Linked DNA regions of Oryzias latipes. The protein of the gene in region 1 purifies or fractionates together with the protein of each later gene. This does not show direct contact. Links are inferred from orthologs where the notes say so. Each region holds a gene or a part of one and is shown on either strand. Other genes may lie near its edges.

Region 1 (3,513 bases):
GCTTTTACATCATTTTCAGCACCTAACAGGAAAAAATGAAACACGACGAAATAGATCTACCTGAAGATTGACAGAGAGTGCTGTTTTTTTAAAGTTTATAGGAACGTTTTCATTCTCCTGTCTAGAAGAACAGGTGAAAAACCGTCCAATTAGACTTTTGTTGTTGCTAGAACTCAGCTATTCTGACTACAATCTGATCGATGCACGCCTGGTTATAATGTGCAAACGTAGTGAGAGTGAAAACGATAAGAAATGTCCTCTAGGAGTTCCTGTACGTTTATCTGTAGGACGGTGATTTCAAAACATCTACAAGCTCGGCCTGACCCTTCACACAGTCAACTTAGCCGGATAACTAAAGGTCATCGCTGTATGTTTTAAAAAACGACTAACCAAATATGGAACTTGCGCTGGAGAAATTTCACTTACTAGAAATTATAGAAATAAAGTTTTACATGGAGATTAAAGTGGAGTTAAGCCAATTTGTTTGTTGATAAAACAAGGGGAAAAATGAGAACAGGGACTGTGGAAACCTTTAAGCATGGAGGTGGAGTGTTGATAATAGGGGCTTGTTTTTTAGGAGGAAAAATTCTTGTCAGTTTTAGGCCTCAAAGTCTGCCAATTTTGTCGTTTCAAACTTTAGCTCACCTCACGTTTTTACATTAATAACGTCCTGAAAGAGCACCCTCTAAAGCCCACTAAAGAATTGACAGAAAATTCAATTTTTTATTATTTAAGAGTAAATTTAAGCCCATTCATGAAAATTACAATCCACAAATTTTAATAATTTGATAGTAATTACTTAGATAGTATCGATGATGATATTTTTGGTGATTTGTTAGGTTTTGGTCACAACAATGTTAGTTTAAGATACAATAATATTGACAAAAACATCTTATTTACCCACTGGCTTTAATTTGATCCACACATTTTTACTGTGGTGTAACTGCATTATAAAGAATAAATTATCAAGAAATTTTGCATTCTTTTACACAGCAAATTGTCATTTGAAAATATGAATAACCGCAGTCGAGTTTTTCTCAGCGTACAGTTTAGAAAATTTGCTAAACATTTCCCGCCGAAAATGTCTGAGATTTCATGGAAGCAGTTGTTTAAAAAAAAGACCTTCTACTGCCCCTAGTGGAAGGATGTTGAACTACAGGGCAGAAAACACGGACTCAGTTATATACAATGTGTTTTTTAGGCAAAGTTTGGATCATGCTAATGAGATAGGATTCTCCAAAATAGGATATGAATGTATGTATGTATGTATGAATGAGTCTATGCAACCAGACCGTCACATGAAAGCTGTCACTGCTAAAGATATTTATAGATATTAGTTAGTAAAAGTTAATTTTAGATTGAAAACAGGAAGTTCCTTTTTCGAAATAAAACATCAACCGAGTTTTGTCCCTTTATGAGACTCTAATATCCAGCTTTATTGTAAAAAGGTTTCAGGGGTGGAGTTATTTGGTCCGTGTTGTGTGTTTTTAGGGGGTTGAGAACGTCTACACTCAGCATCAACCTCTTCTCCATGACACGCTGGATCAGCTGATCAAAGGTCGACTCAAAGACAGTCAGTTTCCTTACCTGGGAGCCAGCAGCCTCAGGGACAGGTAACACACACCTGAGGGTGGAAGAACTCACACCTTTCGGGGGGTTTTTTTGTTTTGTTTTTTTTAACTAAAATGCCACTCTGTGTCCTCGTGGTGGAGTGTCTGCGTTGAAACTGGGAGTTTTAACTTTGGCCTTTTTTTGGCCAAGTTTGTAAAATGTGAGTGGGGAGCTGCAGACACAGCTGCACTCTGAAACCATTTGGTGGTTTATCCCCCAATTTAACCCCTCAATGGTGAGTGTCAAGCAGGGCTCCCATTTTTAAGAGCCTTTGGATTGACTTGTCCGGGATTTGAACGCACAACCTTCCAGTTTCTGAGCGGACACTCTACCACAAAGCCACTAAGCTAGTCAAATTTTGACAATTGTAGTTTATTCTAATGGAAGATGTCGCTGTTTTGTGTCTTATTTTTTTAAGTTTGCATCTCGCAGTTTTGGCAAAGATTTCCAGTCGCGTTTGCAGGCGACTCTGAAAAAACGGCGTGTAAAGTTAAAGGTCATGCTTCTCTAAGCTTGTTAGAGTAAATTATATTCATAAATATGTGAAAACATATGATATAACATATATCATATCATATGATATATCAAATAACATATAAAGAAATATTTGTTATTTTCGCAGCTCATTTTCTTAGCCTGGAAGTAAGACAACTCAATCTCTGAGGCTCCGCCTTTTCTCTCCTTGTGGGTCCCGCCCACTTCATGACGTCAACCTCGGCCTGAGCTCTGTGTCTGCATTTTGCCCACAAAAACAAATAAACGTCCAGACTTTTGCAATATGGATATTGTGCTCATAAACTGAAAGCCGATCACCGCTACCTCAATGAGAAAGTGGGTGTTATGCTGGGGGCGGGGCTTCCAGACACTTCCTGGAAGGGGCTGTTCCTCACTTTGTGATGTCACAATGTGAGGACCCACTCACGGGTTGGGAGTGGCTGCTGCTCAAAGAGCAGGTTTTTTAGAAGAATACTCAGAAATGTGTGAATGGATTAAAATTTCGAATCAGCATTAGAACTCAGTGGAAAAAGTTGATTTTTTTTTTTTCTTCATGGCTCTTTAAAGCACCAACATTTGTGTTTTGTGTTCCAGGCCACAAGACATCATGGTGTTTATAATCGGTGGAGCCACGTATGAAGAAGCTCTGACTGTTTACAACCTAAACCGCAACACCCCCGGCGTCCGCATCGTCCTGGGAGGAAGTACCATCCAGAACACGAAGAGGTGTCAGACCGCCACGCTGAGCACACATTCTTCATCTCCTCAGTAACCCCTTCTGGTTACAACAAACCTCCTTCCATTGATTTGATTTAATGATCACATTTGATATAATAAAAAAGAAAAATTGGCTTGAGTTTGACTGGAGAAGCCATCCAAAGGGCAACAACCTTGTTGGCGTCTGTTAATCATCCACTCAGAGTTTGTCTGCTGCCAACAGGAAATGGGGCGTTTTACACAAACGTATGTGTTTTTTGTAATGCACCGTGTGTTTGTTCACTTTATCCTTTAACATTTGACGTGCTTACGGCCTTGGAACGCTATAGGATCGTGGGTTTTCTAGCAGCAGCTAAATAGAAACATTATTGGAGTTGTTGGTTAATTAGTGACTCAAAAAATAAGTTTTTTTGTTTAAACATAAATTCTCTCTTTCCTTTTGTTCTCATTCAGCTTTCTGGAGGAGGTGATGTTGGCGACGGGTCAGAGCAGTGGTAGCGACAGATCACAGGTGGCCGGTCGCCATAGCAACAGGCGCTAAACAGCGCCCCCCACCCCAGTTTCCTCTACATCCATTTCTCCTGCGTTGGACGCTCAGCCTGGCTCCCTCCGCCCGCCTTCATGCGTGTGAACGGTCGGGCATCGCTGTGATGCATCCGGACCGCATCCGCTGACCCCGTTTCCGTGTTG
Region 2 (4,143 bases), on another chromosome or scaffold:
CTGCTCGATTTTTTAGACAACATTAAGGAGGTTCATGAGGAGGAGAAGAGACAGCACCCGGGTAAAAGGTTTGCACTGAAAGAGAATGAGGAGGATGCAGTGGATAGCGAATAGTGTATGCTGTTAAGGTCTGCGCGCACTGCTTCCCTGTAAACAAATAGATGTAAAAAATAAAGCCACTATAATAAATTACAAAAATAAAACAAAAAACGATAGCCTTTTTATTTTATTTTGGTGCCACTATCGTTGGCAGACAGATATTGTTTCTTCAACGCAAAGTATTTTTCTGAAATGCTCTTTACGGCGCTTGTGCGTAATTCTCTAAACTTTTCTGTACAGTTTTCCGAAAGGTTTTTTCCATATTTAGATATATTAGTTATTTATCATTAATAGATCTACTAAATATGTAGGCTACTCTGTTCTTTAGATTGTTCATGCTTGCAATAAGTTTTAAAAGCATTACTGTTCCCTCTGTGAGGCGACAGGCTCGTAGGTGTGGCACACTGTGAGGATGAAATAAAGTAAAATTGATTTCGTTTCAAGCCAGAAAATCCCTTCATTGACTTTTTTGTGTGTTTTATTCTTTTGTATCCAAGTTAATTATAAAGACTACCACAGCAAATAACATGTCTTGCTCAACAATTGTCTGCATTACGTCATGACTTAATGAAAAAATAAAAATGGTTGAAAGCATTAATCTTTGGATTTTATATTTATGCCTGCAAATAACTTTCCTAATTGATATTTTTCCAGTATGATTACGAGGTAAGGCCGCTGATGGGCAGTGTCAGACATCCACTGAGCCTTTTAATTAGCTCGGATCGGCACGAGCTGTCTCTAAATCAATATGCTAATTAATCACAGAGTTTACAGAGGGTGACCTATAGGTGGCGACATTTCACAGAATTACAAATGGTTACAAAGCCCAATGAAAAGCCTTGGGGAGTTATCCTTAATTTCTGTCAATGGGCGTTACATTAAAAGTATATGTCAAAACTTTTTTTTTAACTACTATGAAGACTATTAAGAATAGCTATATTTTCCGTTTAATATAGTGCATTTTTTATCAGCTTGCTAAATTTCCACGATGAAGATTAGCTAACATATTAGTCCATACATTAATTAACTTCAGATAACCATTTTCATTTTCTTCCTCAACTATAATTTCTGACTCACTATAGATATATGTTATTTCTGATAGGACTATTTAAATAACTGAAAAATTACCTTACTTGTCGTGTGTTTTAGTGAATTCATTAAACCGAAATTGGACTGCTGCCAAAGGTAAGTTCGCGTTTTTTCTGTGCTTTTTGTCCCTCTCATCATCCCTTAGATCTTCAACTAATCACATGACAAGGCAGAGCCACTGCATCTGCTGCTTTGGAGCTGTCAAAAATTGTCAACAGCAGACTTATTGTCGGATACACTTCAGCATATGAACTCTTCTTCGTCTGGAGGGGAAGGTATATGATTATATGTTTATCTAGTTATGAAGTTTTTGTTGGATCTGCCTGCAAATTAGAGGGAAAATAGCGGTAAAGATTGCGAACCCTCATTATATGCTAGCATCATTTACGGCTAAACCGTTCCTTCGTTGCTTGGAATAGCGGTATAAAATTTTGCTTTTAACTCAACGCATTGTATTTGAAAACACGGATCTTTTCCTTCTGGCAATTCCCTCCGTTTCGCGCCTTAGACTAAAGCAAACCTTAATATGAAATGTCAAACAGGGATGCTTGCTAGCACAGCTGTAACTTTCCGTGTAGCAAGATTTTAAGTTTTTATTCTGAATATAAAAAATGCTTTGTTATAGTAATTTAAAGAAAAACGTTTTTTCTCAAAGTTGCAGAATTTAATTTTTAAAACAATCTTCTGGTTATAAATATTAGAAATGGACCGATGGGATTTTTGGGCTCATCTCAGTCCCTGTAAATAAACGTAATCAAAGAGCGTCCATTACAAACATGAATCATTATCAGAGCATAAATCGGGCTGTTATAATGACGAAATGGACCAGAACTTTAGTTTAAAAAGACAACTAACTTTATTATTGGGGACATTTCATATTCATAAAGGAAATGATCAAACCCCAAACCTAATACACTTAACCAATGCAATATGGTAACATCAATCAAATGACAACAAAACTGGCTGCTTCGACTCATTTCATTGTTAAAAAGGTACTTAAAAAAACAACATCTCTGTGGCTCCTTGTTAATTTTTGTTTTGTCATGTGATGCACTATGGCTCTACATAAATTCTGTGAATTTGAATTTTTTTCTGTCTTTCTTTCCCCTATGCATTCACACGTTTGTTGTACATTATGGAAGCGATTTTGTAGCATAATTAAAAATGAAAGTCAAAACCAGAAATGCTTTTTCATTTTCAAAATGTAACTGCATGTTTTGACTCAAAATTAAAATGAAAAAGCAATCCTTCAAAATGCTTTTTCCTTTTCTTCTTCAACACCGCTTTTTCTGTCACTTAATTAAAATGATAATGTAAATGGTATTTGACATCTCATTTTCAAAAGGTTCTCTGGTAAATGTGTAGCAAAATTCATTTAGAAATGTCTAATTTGAGAATTAAAATGGATTAACAGAAATGCTTTTTCATTTTCATAATGTAACTGCATCAAATGACTCCAAATTAAAATGAAAATTCAATACTTCAAAATGCTTTTTCATTTTCTACTTAAAAACCGGTTATTCTGTGTCGTAATTAAAACGAAAATGCAAAGAGGGGATTGCATTTTCATTTTAACATCCACCCTGCGAATACTGTCGCATAATTCAATTCGACTTAGCATTTCCAGAGGGGAGGCGGGGCGATGACGTCACTGCTTTCTCCGTGTGTCCGGCTGCTAAGAGACACATGCTAGGAGCAGTGCGGCCAGGCTTGTAGCTTTGTGTTACCGACAGAGAAGAGGGCTTTGTGACGGTTGTGCACTCCTGATGATTGTACACAAATGATTAGTGCAAGGGTAGTTAATATGAGCCACTGCCTTTAAACCTCTTCAACCTTTCATAGTCATCAGTTGGGATCTTTTTTGCAGTCAGTGGCCCTCCTATTGCAGCTCTCATTTCAGTTGGATAAGGGTGACTTTGTTATTACAATGACTTTTTACAGTATTGCAATTAAACGCTTTTTTACATTAATTTTTGTTTTTTGACTAAGCTAAAACCACTTTCAGTCCTAACTGTAAATATCTGAGATTTCACAATTAAGCCTGAAGTTATGTGTAACCTCAGTCTGCTTTGTCTTTCTGTTCACTCTTTACATTTTTCAGGAATCATGAAGCTAAGGAGGCTAACATTGTACACATTGTGACCAGCGGGTTGAAGCTTCATTATGCCGCCCTTCACTTTCTGGTAAACAACAAGGCTTCCAGCTCTCATCATGGCCTCCAGCTACCCACCCCCCTTCGAGGGCACAGGTGAAGTAAAAGAGGGCTTCCTTTGCCCATTGTGCCTGAAGGACCTGCAGTCTTTCTACCAACTCCAAGGCCACTATGAGGAGGAGCACTCAGGGGATGACCGGCATGTCCGAGGCCAGCTCAAAAGTAAGGGTCGAGTCAGAATTCAGCTTCAGAAAAAAAGAAAAAACGTAATAAAATTCCCTTTTTTGCAATATGACAATCCAGCTAATAAGCTTAAATGTAGCTGTTTGGAGTTGGTGTTTCTTTCTATCTAACATTTGAAAAAATCCAGCTTTCCTTAACAATTGTCATACTTTAAAAAAAAAAAGATATCTTATGTGAATTTACAATATTTTGTTACCTTTCTGTGTGATTCAGGTTTGGTTCAGAAGGCAAAAAAAGCCAAAGATAAACTTTTAAAGAGAGATGGAGAGGACAGGCTCGACACGGGCAGTTATGAGTCTTTCTACTATGGTGGAGTGGATCCTTATATGTGGGAGCCTCAGGAACTGGGTAAGAAAGTATTAATATCAGAGCAGCACATGTATTTTTCGTGTTTTTTATTTGTTGGAATTGTTTTTGTTTACTCTAATAGGAGCAACAAGAAGTCACCTGGATATCTTTAAGAAACATCGTGCTGCCAGAATAGATCACTATGTCATTGAAGTCAACAAGCTCATCATTAGACTGGAGAAGGTACGCCCTCAAAAGCATCATTCTCCTTA

Evidence for each region. The genes of interacting proteins can lie anywhere in the genome.
Region 2: the proteins of vps45 (region 1) and rbsn purify together in Homo sapiens (affinity purification with mass spectrometry; 4 studies listed by BioGRID and IntAct, counting the BioPlex papers as one, with this or other methods). This does not show direct contact. The link is inferred for Oryzias latipes from reciprocal best matches to the Homo sapiens genes VPS45 and RBSN.

The regions. Positions count from the first base shown.
Region 1 is NC_019869.2:4,525,076-4,528,588, reverse strand, and holds part of vps45 (vacuolar protein sorting-associated protein 45), read left to right. Parts: intron 1-1,491; coding exon 1,492-1,613; intron 1,614-2,700; coding exon 2,701-2,832; intron 2,833-3,276; coding exon 3,277-3,364; 3' UTR 3,365-3,513. UniProt on the Homo sapiens protein: May play a role in vesicle-mediated protein trafficking from the Golgi stack through the trans-Golgi network.
Region 2 is NC_019865.2:17,024,993-17,029,135, reverse strand, and holds the start of rbsn (rabenosyn-5), read left to right. Parts: upstream 1-1,337; 5' UTR 1,338-1,463; intron 1,464-3,289; 5' UTR 3,290-3,399; coding exon 3,400-3,562; intron 3,563-3,796; coding exon 3,797-3,931; intron 3,932-4,013; coding exon 4,014-4,114; intron 4,115-4,143. Other genes in the region: trh (thyrotropin releasing hormone precursor), read left to right, coding at 1-114. UniProt on the Homo sapiens protein: Rab4/Rab5 effector protein acting in early endocytic membrane fusion and membrane trafficking of recycling endosomes. Required for endosome fusion either homotypically or with clathrin coated vesicles.